2 linked regions of the Diceros bicornis minor genome follow. The protein of the gene in region 2 interacts with the protein of the main gene of each other region in a biochemical or structural test. Links are inferred from orthologs where the notes say so. Each region holds a gene or a part of one and is shown on either strand. Other genes may lie near its edges.

Evidence for each region. The genes of interacting proteins can lie anywhere in the genome.
Region 1: the proteins of UBE2D2 (region 2) and HECTD1 form a complex in vitro, tested with the Homo sapiens proteins (2 studies listed by BioGRID). The link is inferred for Diceros bicornis minor from reciprocal best matches to the Homo sapiens genes UBE2D2 and HECTD1.

Annotation. Positions count from the first base shown.
Region 1 is NC_080744.1:17,489,335-17,497,374, reverse strand, and holds the start of HECTD1 (E3 ubiquitin-protein ligase HECTD1), read right to left. Parts: upstream 3,032-8,040; 5' UTR 2,946-3,031; intron 2,513-2,945; exon of another isoform or gene 2,382-2,512; intron 1,705-2,381; 5' UTR 1,573-1,704; coding exon 1,433-1,572; intron 1-1,432. UniProt on the Homo sapiens protein: E3 ubiquitin-protein ligase which accepts ubiquitin from an E2 ubiquitin-conjugating enzyme in the form of a thioester and then directly transfers the ubiquitin to targeted substrates.
Region 2 is NC_080740.1:57,893,903-57,901,777, forward strand, and holds the start of UBE2D2 (ubiquitin-conjugating enzyme E2 D2), read left to right. Parts: upstream 1-4,870; 5' UTR 4,871-5,126; coding exon 5,127-5,150; intron 5,151-7,875.

The DNA.
Region 1 (8,040 bases), on a different chromosome or scaffold from region 2:
GAATACTCAAAAATCTACCTCACTTTTCCACGCATCCTGCTAAAACAAGTGTCAATGGAGGGGCTAAATTATTATATACTCAAAGTTTGTCAATAACAAAAACTAGTTGAAACAAATGGGACACTAACAGGGGCCAGTCTGGTGGCGCAGTGGTTAAGTGCTCGCACTCCACTTCAGTGGCCCGGGGTTCGCAGGTTCGGAGCCCGGGCATGCACTGACACACTGCTGGTCAAGCCATGCTGTGGCAGTGTCCCATATAAAGTAGAGGAAGATGGGCACAGATGTCAGCCCAGGGCCAATCTTCCTCAGCAAAAAAAAAGAGGATTGGCATCGGATGTTAGCTCAGGACTGATCTTCCTCACACACACAAAAAAATGGGACACTAACAGATTGTGATTTGGCAACTGTTTATAAAGACTTTTATCATAATAGTACTGTTTTAATGAGATTTACAGCTAAGAATTATTGTTTATCAATTCATCTCCATTCACTATTCATTCAAAAATGAAGACAATTAAAATAATGTTAATTTAGTAATACAGCCTTTATTTCCACCTCAAAAAAATTAAGATAATTATACCAAATTTTATGTCAACATCTCAAGCATTTTCTACTAAATACTTTAAAATAGCATTAAAATACAGAAACATCTGAGTTTTCATTTACTTATAACTGGAATTCACAATTATAAATACAAATATAAAATAAACAGTAAAAACGAAACGTGTTGAGCACTCAGAAGAATGGTTAATCAAACAAGTATTACATAAGAGGAAAAACATGGCATTAATAGCCAATCCAGTGACGAATTCTCTTTTACATTTCTGCACAAATTCTACATTATAACCTCTTAATAAAATCGTTTAAACTCTCCAAACTTCAAAATCTGTTTCTACTATTCCAAAAGGATGCTATTTGGGTAACATCCAACTTATACCCTCCAAACTGAAATTTACAAACCAATGATTTGCTTTAACAAAAGTACAACGTCATGACTTAACACCAAGGAAGAAACAAGCAGTCATAAAACATAAGTTTATTATCATCTGTATTTTCACGCCAAAAATTTCAAGTCAATTTCTTGGTACAGAAATAGCTACCTTTAAAGAAGATAAGTATTTATATTTTCCCAGTTCATAACATATTTTGAAAATGAATCAACCAAGCTATGCATTAAAATTAGTATTTTCTACTAATTTCTACTCATTCAACAAACGTGTATTTGTGTCATCACAATTATCATTACTGGAGTTACTTCACCTACCAGTTTTTATTTCTCAGAAAAGTTTTAACTGCAAAACTGCAGAAACTTTTAAAAAGATAGCTGTAAAACTCACTAGAGAAAATTCCTCACAAACTGAAGTCAGCAAATGGTTGAAAACAGATGGCACTACAGTAACCCCAAAGGAAGATGATGAAGGGATGTACTTACGTTTCAAAACAACGATCCACGTTGTCAGACATCAAAAGCAGCATGCATAGCTGTTCAAGGGCTATTAGTTGCATGTCCCTTTCATCTCCCTGTCCCATCTGTAGCCATTCCAGCAACGTATCTGGATCCACATCTGCCATGGTTTTTTAAAAGCCTTTTTGCTTAAATTAAAAAAGTAAAGTAAAAAGTCCTTTAAATGTCCAGGACTGATCAGCTTGGGTTTAAAAAGTTTTCTTTTACATCAGCTAGAACCAAATTTTCGTGGTGTCCTCCTAGAATTAGAGAAAACTCATAAGTATGTTTGGATAGAGCGCTTAATGCAGTTTTTCAACTTTCCTTATTCCTCAGGTTTACCGTTCACTTATCATACTAACTAAAAACCAGTTTTGCACAAGAGTATAAACTGATTAGGTTGTTGCTTAACTGGAAACCAGAGCAGTCTTTGTCAGTCAAGCTTCGGATCCCACTACTGCTATCACTAACTTCTGTGCCAAAAGGCAAAGAACACCTTACTAAAGGTTCTTTTTTTTCCAGCAAACTTCTCCCGTCCAACCCAAAACAGATCTTCAGATAAGGGTTAGATTCAGTATTTTGAGGAAACTAAGCACTTTGATCCAATCCCCCTTCAAATTAAGTTGCTGCTTTAAAATTGACAAAACCTGCTGACGACTTAACTTACCGCTCTTCTTAAGATGTCCACCCCACATACAAACGATAATTAGACACCAAATCTATCTATGACTAAAGGCTTGGTTAGGAATTTTGGCAGTCTTGGCAACTGTTCTTAAAAGTTTAAAAAGAATCACTAAGAGCAAATGCAAGGGAATAGCACGTTACGGATCAGAGTATAGGCCAATCTACGGCCCTCTCTCCCCATCTCTACAGAATGGGACAGTTGGCTAAGAAAAGAGACAAAACAGAGAAGCAGCCCCAACAGGCAAGTGCTTACAAAAGCTCGGAAGCGCCCGGCGGGAGGACAGCTTCGGGGCCCGCGTACCCAGCTGCAGGTGTGGGACTCCAGCGGCGGGGCGCGGTGGGCACCCAACGGCGGCGGCCAGCAGGGTGACCCAACACCCCGGGCCCGGCCGAGCCCCGCGCCGGGAGGCGAAGCCCCGCGCCCTGGTTTCCCGGCACCAACCCCGCTAAGTTAGCTCCCCGTATCGGGGAGGAGGGGAAGTTCTGGAGGAGAAGCAGCCAGCCTCCGGGCCGAGCGGCGCCCGGAACTCCGAGGCCCGGCGGGACGTCCCCGGGCCGGCCGGGAGGCGAACCCTTCTCAAGGGCAAGGGGGGCCCGTCTTGGGCCCGGGCTCAGGCAAGCCGGGCCCCGCCGCGGGCAGGGCCGGGGGAGGGGAACAAAGGGGCTAAGCCAGGGAGTCGGCAGCAGCCCCGCCGCCCTCACCCGGGGCCGGGGTCTCGCTCCCGGCCCGCCGCCGGGCATCCCCGGATCCCGGCCCCAGGCCTGGCCCTTCCGACCGCCCACGGCGCTCCCGCCTTCCCTCCCCTCCGGCTCTTACCCGGGCCTGTCGTCCCAAAGCGCTCCGGTCCAGCTCCGAGCAGGCCGCGGGCAGAGCCAGGCCCGGCCGCGGCCCTCGAGTTCCCAGGAAGCCGCAGGCCGCGCAGCTCGAGCCGGGCAGGCGGCACAGGAAAAGCCGCGCCTCGTCCCTCCCCTTCCTCCGCGGGGAGCCGGTGACAGGCAAGCGAGAGGTTCCCCCGACCGGCGGCCGCCAGCGCACTTCCCGTCCCCAGCACGCGGCTCCTCAGGCCCTGCAGCTCAGAGGCCCGCGCGGTGCTGCCGGCGGCGGCGGCGGCGGGAGGCCGCGTCCATCGCGATTCCGGAGGGGGAAGGGAAGAGGGTCCGGGCGCGGAGGCTGCGGAGGGCAGCCGAGCTCGGCGGGGGCGGAGCAAAGCGACGCTCCTTGGCAGCGACCCCGCCGGCCGCCACGAGGGGCGCTGCGGAGACCCGTCGGCCAGCGGCGCGGGGGCGCCGGCCCGGGCGCTCTGGCCACCGAGCCTCGGGCTCGCTGGCCTCGCCAGCTGTCGCTTGTCTCTCCGATGCCCTGGCGCCTTTACGCTTCGCTGTCAATCCGAGCGCGCTCCCGGGCCCCGCGCACACCGGCGCGCGCACGCTCCGCTTGTTTTGCACGGCGTCTACACACTTGGCGTGCTCCCGCCGAAGGCCCCACGCTGCGCGCCAACGCTGCGGCCCAACCCGCGCCGGCCGAGCCTCCGGCCGCGGCGACCGGTCCTCCGCCAAGAGCGTCGCCTCCTCCCCGCCGGGCCTCGCCTGGCCTCGCGCACACGGAAGTGCGTCGCGAGAGGAAAAGCAGACCGCGCCGCAGTTCGCCAGGAAGAAAAGCTTTCACCACAACCCTCGGAAGTAAATATTATCGAGTGTTATCGCCATTGTGCAGATGGGAGAACTGAGGCTCCAGAAACCGTAAATTCCACTGGCGTCCCCAGTGAGCAGCAGCGCTGAGTGTGCTTTTGACTCTTTTTTTCTGCGGGTTGAGGTCTCAAATGTGTCCGTGGTTATTCCCTTCAAACGTTTTAGTTTACACGAATTGAAAATAAAATATGCCTGCTTATAGGTCGTGGTTGGAGGTGTTTAAGCTGTAATGAATTGGAAATGTGAGTCAAATAAGAAAATGAATCCCTTGGTTTGTGAGATAAGTAAATCCATGCCTCAGACACTCCCGCTGTACTCTCACTTTTTCATCTTTTAAACAAAAATGAATCTTACACGATAGTCTTTGAGATGTATTCCTTTAAGCAATCGGAGGAGCTGCTGCATATGCTTGAAGAACCAGTATTTTGGAAATTACAGATTTGCACTTCACATATCTGTGGCACATGTGCTACTGTCGCAGGTAATGGTCCCTAGGTCACCTATTAACAGATCAAGTCAGGAGAAAAAGGTAGAGGATTCTACTAACTTGTCACAACTACAACACATGAGAATAATTATTTGGGAGCTATGAATATGACTTGGAGCTGCCAGGAAAATCTTCAAGGAGGAAGTGGCATTCTTTCTGGACCTTGAAGAATGGGTAGAATGTCGACACTACAGGGAGGGGGAAGAATACAAAGCCTGGTATGTTCTGAGACAAAGGAAAGAGGCCCTGTGCCCCAAGCAAAGCACCTGCATTAAGCAATGGGAGGGAGAGAAGGTAGCAGCTAAAGTAAGCAGGGCCTTGAATGCTGAATGCTGAATGCAGAATTTAGGCTGGAGTAAGTAACAAGTTACTACAAGTTACTAGTAACAGTGGACTAGAACATTGACTGGAAAAATTAAGTCTTAGAAAGATTTCTAGGGCAAAAATGTCCAGTGGCTAAAAGGAGCTACCTAGACAAGGAGATTAGCTGAGAGGTTGCTGAAATCCTCCAATAGTGGATGGAGGAAGAGCCTAGTTACTGGCAATAAGAATGGAGAAGAAATACATCTAAAAAAAATTTTTTTTAAAGATATGTCAAAATTTAAATGATTAACTTCAATTAGTTTTTTAACCTGCAGAAAGGTCTTGGAAGCTAGGGAAATGATGATGCTATTAACAGAAAATAGAGAAGTTGGAAAAAGTGACTACACTTTTCAAAGTTTTGAAGGTATATTTTCCTTTATTCCCTCACCATCTCTATCTGCACCACCCACTTCCTACCCCCCCCCCAAAATTAATGACTGTGGTATGCTTTAAAGAAATCTATCAAGAAAATGCTGTGACTTTTATTGTGATTTTATTATGACATTATTATCTTAAATTCAAATATGAGATCCTAGAACAAGAGCATTAAAGGAAAGGAATTAAGCCCTGAAGAAAACAGAGGAAGCAGATGAAGGCAATACTGCCCCTACTTGAATCTATATCCCAGGAAACCAGGATATGTTTACATGCTAATAATCCACCTCAATGTTAAAATCTAAGAATAATGGACATTGAGAATTTTTATGTGCCAGGCACAGTAACTCATAGGCCTCATCTTCAATAAACTATAAAAGTCTAGGAGAGGGTAGATGTAAACACACTTCCCGTGTCGGCCTCTACGATAGTACTTATCCCATAACATTGTCAGGTACGCTGGAAACATCAAGGAGGTAATGGTGTCTTAGAAGGCTTCGAAAATGATGCGCGGGCTGGATCTCAGATGTTGAGTTGGAGCTAGCCAGACCAACTCCATTAGGTCTCCATTAGGAAGACCATGTGGAGAGGCATGGAAGTATGAAGAGGGCTCCTCTTGGGCGAGCAGAGGGAACAGGCCACCTTTTGAGGTAGGCCTCACTTTCACGAAGGATCTTCAATATACACACAGTCACTAGAGTCCTTTCACAAGATCAAGAAGGAAGAGATTCATCATTTACATTTAAACTCTTATCCCACCCACAGGCATTACTATAAATTAATTTTTTAAATAAATCATTATCTTATGGATAACACAACTATATGGCATTAAATTTTTTATGTATCAAAAGCATCCAATGGAAAATTCCAATAGAGTAAAAAGAAAAAATAATAATCACCTACCACCGTGAGACTGTCATTAACACTTTGATAACGTTTCTATGGCCTTTTTTCTAGGCATAAACATGTAAAATCATATATATTACAGTTTGTGATCATATTAGTAAACAATATGAAGTTAGTATGACATTAAACAAGTCTTAAGCCCTTTTCTTGGACTTCTTACATCACCAAAGTCCAAAATTCATCTACCCATCCCCATCCAAACTCACGTGTTATTCAGGGAATCGTTTTGATCCCTTTTATCAGCTAGCTAAAGAAGCCTGAGGGCCAGGTTTAAATTAGCTGAGCCTGGAAAACTAGCTGCTTTACTTCAGCCATGAGGATTAAACTTCTACTCTCAGAGATTATGTGTCTGCCATAGCAGAGTTCGAGAGGTGAGCAGTTATTCAAGTAAAGCTGCTTAGGAGACAAATCCATCTAGGTCATTCAAAACCAAAATTATCTTTTACTTCCCTGGAGGTCATTTGCCATAGATTATCTGAATCCTTGTCTTTAAGACCCAGGAACGTAAATCGGAATTTAATGTAAATGTGGAGCCTGGGGAATAGTGTGTGATTTACTAGGTAAATGCAAATGGCTTGATAACACCCGCAGACTAGATGTATGTATTATTAACGTGGGAATGTGGATATACTGAGGTATTCTAGAGGTTAAGGCAGGGAGCTTCTTGACCAAGGAAATTAACCACCAAGCTTTCAAGGAAATGTTATCTGTACTAGTTTTTCTTTGAAAATCATCATGACTGTGATTTCAAAGTTTTTTATTATTCAATTTCTTTTTTTTTTTAATTTTTTATTTATTTATTTTTTCCCCCCAAAGCCCCAGTAGATAGTTGTATGTCATAGTTGCACAGCCTTCTAGTTGCTGTATGTGGGACGTGGCCTCAGCATGGCCGGAGAAGCAGTGCGTCGGTGCATGCCCGGGATCCAAACCCGGGCCGCCAGCAGCGGAGCGCGTGCACTTAACCGCTAAGCCATGGGGCCGGCCCTATTATTCAATTTCTTTAGGCTTATATTCAATTTTCTGATGTGTACATAATATGTATACACAAGTGTATATATTTTTATATGTATAAGTATATATGTATATGAAGTTTATATATACATATATGTGTACACGTCACATATATGTATATATAAACTTCTAATAACAGCTTTATTGAAATATAATTCACATACCATGATGTTCATCATTTTAACATGTACAGTTCAGTGGCTTTTAGTATATTGACAAAGTTGTGCATCAGTTACCACTATCTAATTCCAGAACATTTCCATCACCCTTAAAAGGAAATCCCATACCCATTGGCAGTCACTCCACATTCTCTCCAACCGCTAGTCCCTGGAAATCACTAATCTACTTTCTATCTCTCTGTTTTTACCTACTCTGGATATTTCATATAAATGGTATGTGGCCTTTTATATCTGGCTTCTTTCATTCACCAGTATGTGTTCGAGGTTCATCTATATTGTAGCATGTGTGAAAACTTCCTTCCTTTTTATGGCTGAACAATATTCCATTGTATGGATATTCTACTTTGTCTTTATTCGTCAGTTCATGGACATTTGCGTTGTTTCCAGTTTTTGGCTATTATGAATAATGCTGCTGTGAACATTCATGTACAGATTTTTTGGTAGACTTATATGTTTTCAATTCTCTTGGGTATATACCTAGGAGTGGAATTGTTGAGCCGCATAGTTTAGCTTTTGGAGGAACTACCAAATGTTTTCCAAAGCATCAGTACCATTTACACCAACAGTGTATGAGGGTTCTACCTTGTTATTATCTGTCTTTTTTATTATAGCCATCCTAGTGGGTATGAAGTAGTATCTCATTGTGATTTTGATTTGCATTTCCCTAATGGCTAACCATGTTGAGCAGTTTTTATGTGCTTATTGACTATTCATACATCTTCTTTTGAAAAATGTCTATTCAGATCCTCTGCCCATTTTTAAATTGGGTTCTTTGTCTTTTCATTGTTGAGTTGTAAGAATTCTTTACGTATTCTGAATAGAAGTCCCTTGTCAGATGTATAATTTGCAAGTATTTTCTCCCATTCTTTGGGTTGTCTTTTCAATTTCTTGATGGTGTCCTT
Region 2 (7,875 bases):
TACTTAAAAATTCCTATGAAGTAAGGCATGGATATGGGGCCACACCCCAACAATACAATAAATTCTGGGAGGCAGAACACACCCTAAATCTTATATAACAAGAGAGAGCAGCTGTACAAAAAGAATGTAAAATCAAGTACAATTCCTCTGGTAAACCACTGTTCTGATTTTTGACCATGAAAAAATGAGCAACTTCAAACTCACAAACCTAGCTTTCCAAGGAAATAGATTAGCCTCTACTGGTCGCACTATCTTAAAGAATCTGGAATGTTGGGGACATTCTTATGTTTTAAAACTACACCTTAGAAAATATCACAGAAAGGGATCATACTGATGCAGCTAGAAAATCAATTCCTGGTTTACCTAATACTCCTTACTCAATCATTCTAATGAGACACAATAAACTCTCCTATAGGGTTGCTGAGATCCAAAAACAGGGAGTTCCCAAATTGCTTGGGTTGTACTTTTTGCTCAGCCCACGCAATCATCTGCCTATGTATATTAATGGAAATGTCCTCCTTATCATTTAATCACAGCTGTCAGCTCTGGGAACACCTTTGCCAAAGGAAAACCTTTAAATACTATAATGCTTGCAGTATTGGGTTAACAACCAAGAGGGGAGATCAAACTCCAAGAACATGCAGTGTGCTCACAATTTCAGAAGGATAATGGAAGGTAAATTGAGGGCTCTAAGATCCATGTAGGGTGAGCGGGAGGAAAAATCACCCCAAGGAAAAATCTATTACATAAGAATACCTACAAATTCTGCATACTCTTAAAACATTTTAATATTGTTTTATTATATATATATAATTTTCATGTAATATAATGCCCAGATCTTTAATGTTCAGTTCCATGAGTTATGACAATTGTATATATATACAATTGTGTAAACTCCACCCAAAACAATGTATAGAACACTTCCATTGTCCCAGAAAATTTCCTTGATCCCTTTCTTAACAAATCACCTCCCAAACAATGGCAGTCACTTTTTTTACTTCAAACACCACAATTAATTTTGTTTCTGGACTTCATATAAACGGAATTATACAGTTCATATTTTTTTGTGTCTTTCTTCTTTTGCTTGAATAATCATTTTGACATTCATCCATGTTGTTGAGTGTGTCAATAGTTCATCTTTTTGTGTTGTTGTAGAATTCCATTGTATGAATGTCATAATTTGTTATCCCATTCTCCTGTTGATGGACATTTGGGCTATCTCCACTTTTAGGCTATATATGAATAAGGCTGTTATGAACATTTGTGTACAAGTCTTTTTGTGGACATATGATTTCATTTTTCTTGAGTAAATACCTAAGAGTAGAATTGCTGGGTCATATGGTACATATATGTTAAATTTTATAAGAAATTACCAAACAGTTCTCCAAACTGGTTGTACCATTTTACACTCTAACCCGCAATGTATGAGAGTTCCAATTGCTGTGCTTCCTTGTCTTCACTTATTGTTGTCAATGTTTTCGATTTTAGCCATTCCAGTGGGTGTAAAATGGTATCTCATTATAATTTTAATCTGCGTTTCCCTGATAACCAATACATTCCAAAGTATCTGAAAATAGCCCTTGGTCGAAGAATAAATCACAGGGGAAATTAGAAACTATTTTAAACTGAATGAAAATGAAAACAAAACATAACAAAATTGTGGGGTGCAGCAAAAGTAATGTGCTTTTAATGCTTTATTAGATAGTGCTCATATTAGGGGCCGCCCCGTGGCATAGCTGTTAAGTGCGCGTTTGGATCCCCGGGGCGCACTGATGCACCACTTGCCAGGCCATGCTGTGGCGGCGTCCCATATAAAATGGAGGAAGATGGGCACGGATGTTAGCTCAGGGCCAGTCTTCCTCAGCAAAAAGAGGATGATTGGCATGGATGTTAGCTCACGGCTGATCTTCCTCACAAAAAAAGAAAGAAAGAAAGTGCTCATACTAGAAAAAAGGAAAAGTGTAAAATCAGTGTTCTAAGCTCCTACTTTAAGAAGCTACAAGAACAAATTATATCCAAAATAAGTAGAAGAAAGAAAATAATGAAAATAAGAGCATAAATCAATAAAATAGAAAATGGACAAACAACAGAGAAAATACAAAGTCACAAGCTGGTTCTTTGGAAGAATTAATAAAATTGATAAATCCCTAGCAAGATTTATCAAAAAAAAAAAAAAAGCAAAAAACAGAGAAAACACAAATAACCAACATCAGGTATACAAAAAGAGATATCATTATAGATGCTACAGACAGTAAGAGGAAAAATAAGAAAATATTATGAGTGACTTTATTCTAATAAATTGGACAAGTTAAATAAAATGGATAAATTCCTTGAAAAACAAATTATCATAGTGGACACAAGAAGCAAAAAGAAAAATCCAAATAGTCTGAAACTCATTAAAGAAATTGAATTTATTATCAAACTCTTTCCACAAAGAAAACTCCAGGGCCAGATGGCTTCATTGGTGAATTCTACCAAATATTTATTTAAGGAAGAAAAAAAATAACAATCCTACACAAACTCTTTCAGGACACAGAGGAGGGAACACTTCCCAATTTGTTTTATGAGGCCAGGATAACCTTGATATGACAACTTGGAAAAGATGTTACAAGAAAAGAAAATTATAAACTGATATCCCTCATGAACATAGATGCAGAAATCTGATTACTATTTGATGCAGCAATTTCATTTCTAGGAGTTTATCCTAAAGAAGCACTCTTAGAGTTGTACAAAGACTAACTACAGGATATTCATTATGGCAATATTTTTAATAGTAAAAATTGGAAACAACTTAAATGTCCCCAAAAATGTGACCAGTTAAAATATAGTACATTTATATAATAGAATATGTGGCCATTAAAATATGGTAGAAATGTGTATTGGCACAGGAAAATTCACTATATATTGTTTATTTTAAAAGTAGATTACCAAAAATTTCAGGTGCTTTTACCACACACACACAAAACGTGAGGAGATAGATATTTTAATTATCTTGACTGTAGTAATCATATCACTATGTTTATGTATATCAAATCATCATGTTGTATACCTTAAATATATACAAACTTTATTTTAAAAAAAGAGGTAGATTACCAAATAGTATTATGGCAAGATCCTACATTTTTCAAAGAAAATATGTATTTATATGTAAGGAAAAAAGACTTAACTAAAAAAGAAAAAAGGGAAGGATATAAACCAAATATCAAAAATGGTTAGGGGTTGGATGATGGGAGTATGGTTGACTTTTATTTCCTTCCTTTTGCCTATCTGTATTTCTTACAACAAATATATATTGCTTTTCTAATACAAAAAAAATTATTGTTGAAGAAAAAAATTTAAAAATCTGACCAATGGGCATTTTTGTAACTCTCTCATCATATTTCCTAGGAAGAAAAGATTTGGGGCTGTGGAATGTTCCTCTTCACCTCCAACCTCAAATATACCCACCCTGGACGACTGGATACAGTTTTCCCCTCTTTGACTCACTGAGCCCACGGCGGCCCTGCCCTATCGGTCCATCCTTCTCTGTTCAGTAGGTGAGGCAGTATAAATTTTGCCACTGACCTACCGTATGACTTTTGGGAAGATCCTTCCCTTAGGGGCTCCAGTTTCTCCTCTCTAAATTCAGGAGATAGAATCAAGGATCTTCAACGTCCCTTTCACATGGAGGAAAGAACACAGCTTAAGAATCAGAAAACCTCGGGATGCACTTGAGTAGGTGGCACCATCTCCCGGGAAAATACTCCTTACTATTCTCCCGTGCAAGTGTCTCCAGCCAGATAATAAGCAACTTCCAGCCCAGGCGTGGTCTTATACCTCACTGGTCCTGGTGTAGGGATCGACACAGAGTGGTTGCTCAGTGAATCAGCTTTTTGCCTCCACCTCCTAAAAAACAACTTCAGAATAGGTTTTCTAGGGTGCTCCTGATGGTGATATGAAACACAAGGTTGTTTTAACTACTGGAGCTCACACTGTGTAAGTTTTTTCTGAGGTAATTGGTACAGTGCCTGTTTGTAACAATTCACCAAGCTTCAGCGAGGTCTGGGCACCTCTCCTACGACTGACATGCTGAGACATTGAAGTTGTCATTCAGGTAGCACCTTGGTTGGAAAGGCCATCTCAGGGCTGCCCGTGGCAGGCTCCAAGAACCACATTCCCGCAGGTGCCTAGGCTGTTACCAGGCGGCTTCTGGAAAGGGATCTGATGAGACCCTAGACTTCGGGGAAGTACCAGCTTTGCCACCGTGGAGCTGTGTGACCTTGGACAAGTCCCTTTCTCCTTAGGGAACGTTGCAACGGGCCTAAATGGCTCTTCCCGGGTCGGTCTATGCTGTGGGAACGGTCAAGTGATCTGGCAAACATTCGCCTTCAAACGTTTATTAATCTTCGATGACACGCGCGTGGCGGACCAAAGACCAGGTACTCAAGGGTCGCAGCGCGCAAACATCCACGACCCCGCGCCACGGCTCTCGCGAGATCTCCCTGCGCTTCGCGGCGTCATCCTCCAAGCGGCCGTGGCGGCGACGGCGCGTGAGATACTCACAGGGGTAGCACGTATCCCTCCGCCGCCGGCGCGGCCCGGCCCTCCTTCCTCTGGCCCGCCAATCCCCGCGCCTTCCGACCTGCCCCTCGTCCTGGGCCCACCCCGCGCTCCGACGGCCCCACCCCGGCGGCGCCGCCCGGCTGCGCGCCCGCGCGTCTCTTCGTCCACCTGCAGCAGGCAGTCCCTCTGGCTGGCCGACCGAGAGGCGCCGGCCGAGCCCCAGGCCTCGGCTCTTGCTCCCCGGCGGAGGGATCCGCGGCGGCTGAGGAGGCGGCGCTGAGCTTTAGAGGAAGAGGCAGCTACGGCGGCGGCGGCGGCGGCGGCGGCGGCGGCGGCGGCGGCGGCGGCTCGGGTGGCAGCACATAAAGGGGCCGCCGCCGGGTGATGTGGTGACCGCTGCGGCAGGCTCAGGAGCCAAGTGGGCCCCGGCCCTCAGTTCGTTCTGCCGGACCCGTGCTCCCGAACTCCCCATCTTCTCCGGCCGACCCGCGATCACCGAGGCGGCCTCGCGCCCCCTCGCCCCTTCCCCGTCCCTCCCCTGTCCCCGTCCCCGCCCCGGGGGCCGCCGCCACCCGCCTCCCACGATGGCTCTGAAGAGAATCCACAAGGTAAGCGGCCGGAGGTCGGCTGTGGGTTCGGGCCTCTGGGCAGGCCAGCTGAGCAGGCTGCGGCCTGCACTTCCCGCCGTCGCCTCCGCCGGGCTCGCGGCCTCTTCAGACCCGGCTGCCGGCGATGGCCCCGCCGGGCGGCCTTCACACCCCACTCCCAGTGATGGCGACCGCGGAGGCCCCGGCGCGCAGCCCGCTCTTAGGCCGGAGGTGCTCGCCGGCTCGGCGTTCCTCCTCGGCCTTCTTTCTAGGCGTTGCGTGGTATGGAGTCTCAGGGCCTCTCCTCGGCCTGGGAGTGCTGCACTGGGAGGCCATTGTCCGGCCGTGCCAGGAGTGGGGGCTGGGGCTGGGGCTGGGGCGTTGGGCGGCCCCATCGACAGAGGTCGAAAGGGCTTCTATCCCATCTTTGCCGGTTCTCCTTCTCCCGTCCACCTGCCCTGGCTCCTCCACAGAACCGCCTGAGCTTGGGGCCTGTATCTCAGGCAGACGGAGGAAACCTTTTTGTGCGATCCATAAGTATTTCTTGAGTTCACTTAGCTCTTGGCGGCCGCACACTTTTATCCACTCTGTTCGTCCAGAAACTGTTAGAGTAGGAAGTTCAGAAGGAAAAAAATATGACTCTTTTGAGGGAGGAGGGAAGTAGAGAGAGAAGCGTTTTATTCCTTGAGGTTGCCATATGTAGTCAGAAACTAACACTTCAGTTTTGCGGGAATGGATCTAATAGAAAAACTGTTCAATTGATAAGGGTGGAGGTAGAAACCTGAGCATTGAAAACCACTGGAGAAATTACACAAAGTTTCTTTTGACAGTCTCTTCACAAAATGGATCTATCTTAACGCTTAAATTAGATGATATGTTTAGGGAAACCCTTTTAATTTGGAAGGGATTTTGCTAGATTTTCCATTAGGCGGGATTTCTTTTACCTTTAAGATGAAGGGTTGTTCATCTAGTTATCTCCTAGTGTATGGACTTGGCTTAAAATTTAGCGCCCCCCACACACACCTTTTAGTGCCTCTCAGTATCACGTTTTTTTCCGTAGAAGTGAGGAAGCACCACTGGTGATTTTTGTTTGGTGTTTCACTTGGCTACTCGGAGAGGTTGTATTAAATCTCTAACCACTTAGTAAGAAGTAGATCCTGGGATCATCCATCCTCAAGGATGGGATGGAAATGCAAGGGGAAGAGAACCAATTTTCACTTTGCGTTACACTCAGTGAAAATGCAGATTGTTGGACAGTGTAAACACCTCAGCTCAGCAGTTGGTCTTCATTTCATTCTTGCTCAAAGACCGTTAATGTGGAAGTAATCCCAGTGGTTACTGTAAATTAGGTTAGATCCTTACCAACTTCTTTTGACTTTGATTTCTAACGAATGGAAAAGGGCAGACGTTAGAGTAAATCTTGTACTAAAATGAAACAGGTTATTTGTTAAAAAAGCTTGAACCTTAACCAAAGATCTCTTAAAGAACCATTTAAGGGGCAGGAGCACACTGAGGAATGGTCATCCAAGTAACAATATGTATGCATTTTTAAGGCTTTTAGTAGTTACTAGGCTCTTATAGAGTCTAATTGGGAAGTTATCAACTTGAGATCATACCTGTAGAAGATTGTGCTCTTATTTTAAAACCTGAAGAATTGTGAGTATAATGTGTGATAACTTACATATCAAGAAATGTAGCCTTTAATCTCTACATTGATTGATAGGTGTGTTTTTTCAGAGAGAAATAGCACTCAAAACATGCGTTTTAGTTTTTTAATATATTTTCTCCCAATAATATGGTTTTTTTTTTTGAGTTACTACATAGTCACTAGATTGTCTCTAAAATATGCCCTTATAAAATTTTAATACAGAAAATCAAGTTTAGATAGTGATAATTTGAACCTTTAAAACTCAGTAGTAACCTTTTTTCTCCCTGGTTTATAACCTGGAGCCCTAATCAAAGTATGGCTTGACTTCTGAGACTGCCAGGAATTAAAAAAAATAAAATTTGTTTTTGGTGTACTAGTCAATAAGATTGTGAAAACAAAATGGAGATCATTTTCTTTTTTCAGACTTTTTGTATGACATCAATTATAAGTTGAATGCAGACTGACATAGGTATGAATAAGACCAGTCATATCTTATCCTTAACCTAGTAATCTATCTATAATGGAATCCCCAAAAGACTTACTTTAATTGATCTTAGTCTTGAACCTTCCCACTTATCATTCTCTGAAAAAAATAGTTCTGCTTAAATACCCTCTCAACTTTAGATATCATGAACTGTTGCCTCTGGGTTCTAATAAAATTTTGCTAAGAACAAATACATTTTACGTGTCATCTTTAGGAATTCAATATCTTGTTTCTTTGACAGAGGGAAATAGTGTTCTGTGAATTTGACAGTCCTTTTAATGCCGTGTCTTTTTTGGGAAAAACTTTTGATGGATTTGATTTTGATACACACTTTTAGTTCTCCTGACCTGTGCTTTAACAGAGTGTACCAAAGAGAGTCATTATGAACATCCAGTATAGGTCTGTGCAGGGATTGGGACCCTTTGGGATTATTTGTATCTATACTAAGTGGCCCCAGCCTGCTATGTTTTGAGGTTTTCTGCTGACTTTGTAGGTCTTCAGCTTTGATTTTGATGCTTTGAGTGTCTGCCTCTAGCAGCACCACCCCCAGCCCTTTTCCAGTTGGTTGCATCTCATCTGTTGTGGGCTGGGAAACCAGATCACAGAGCTTATTA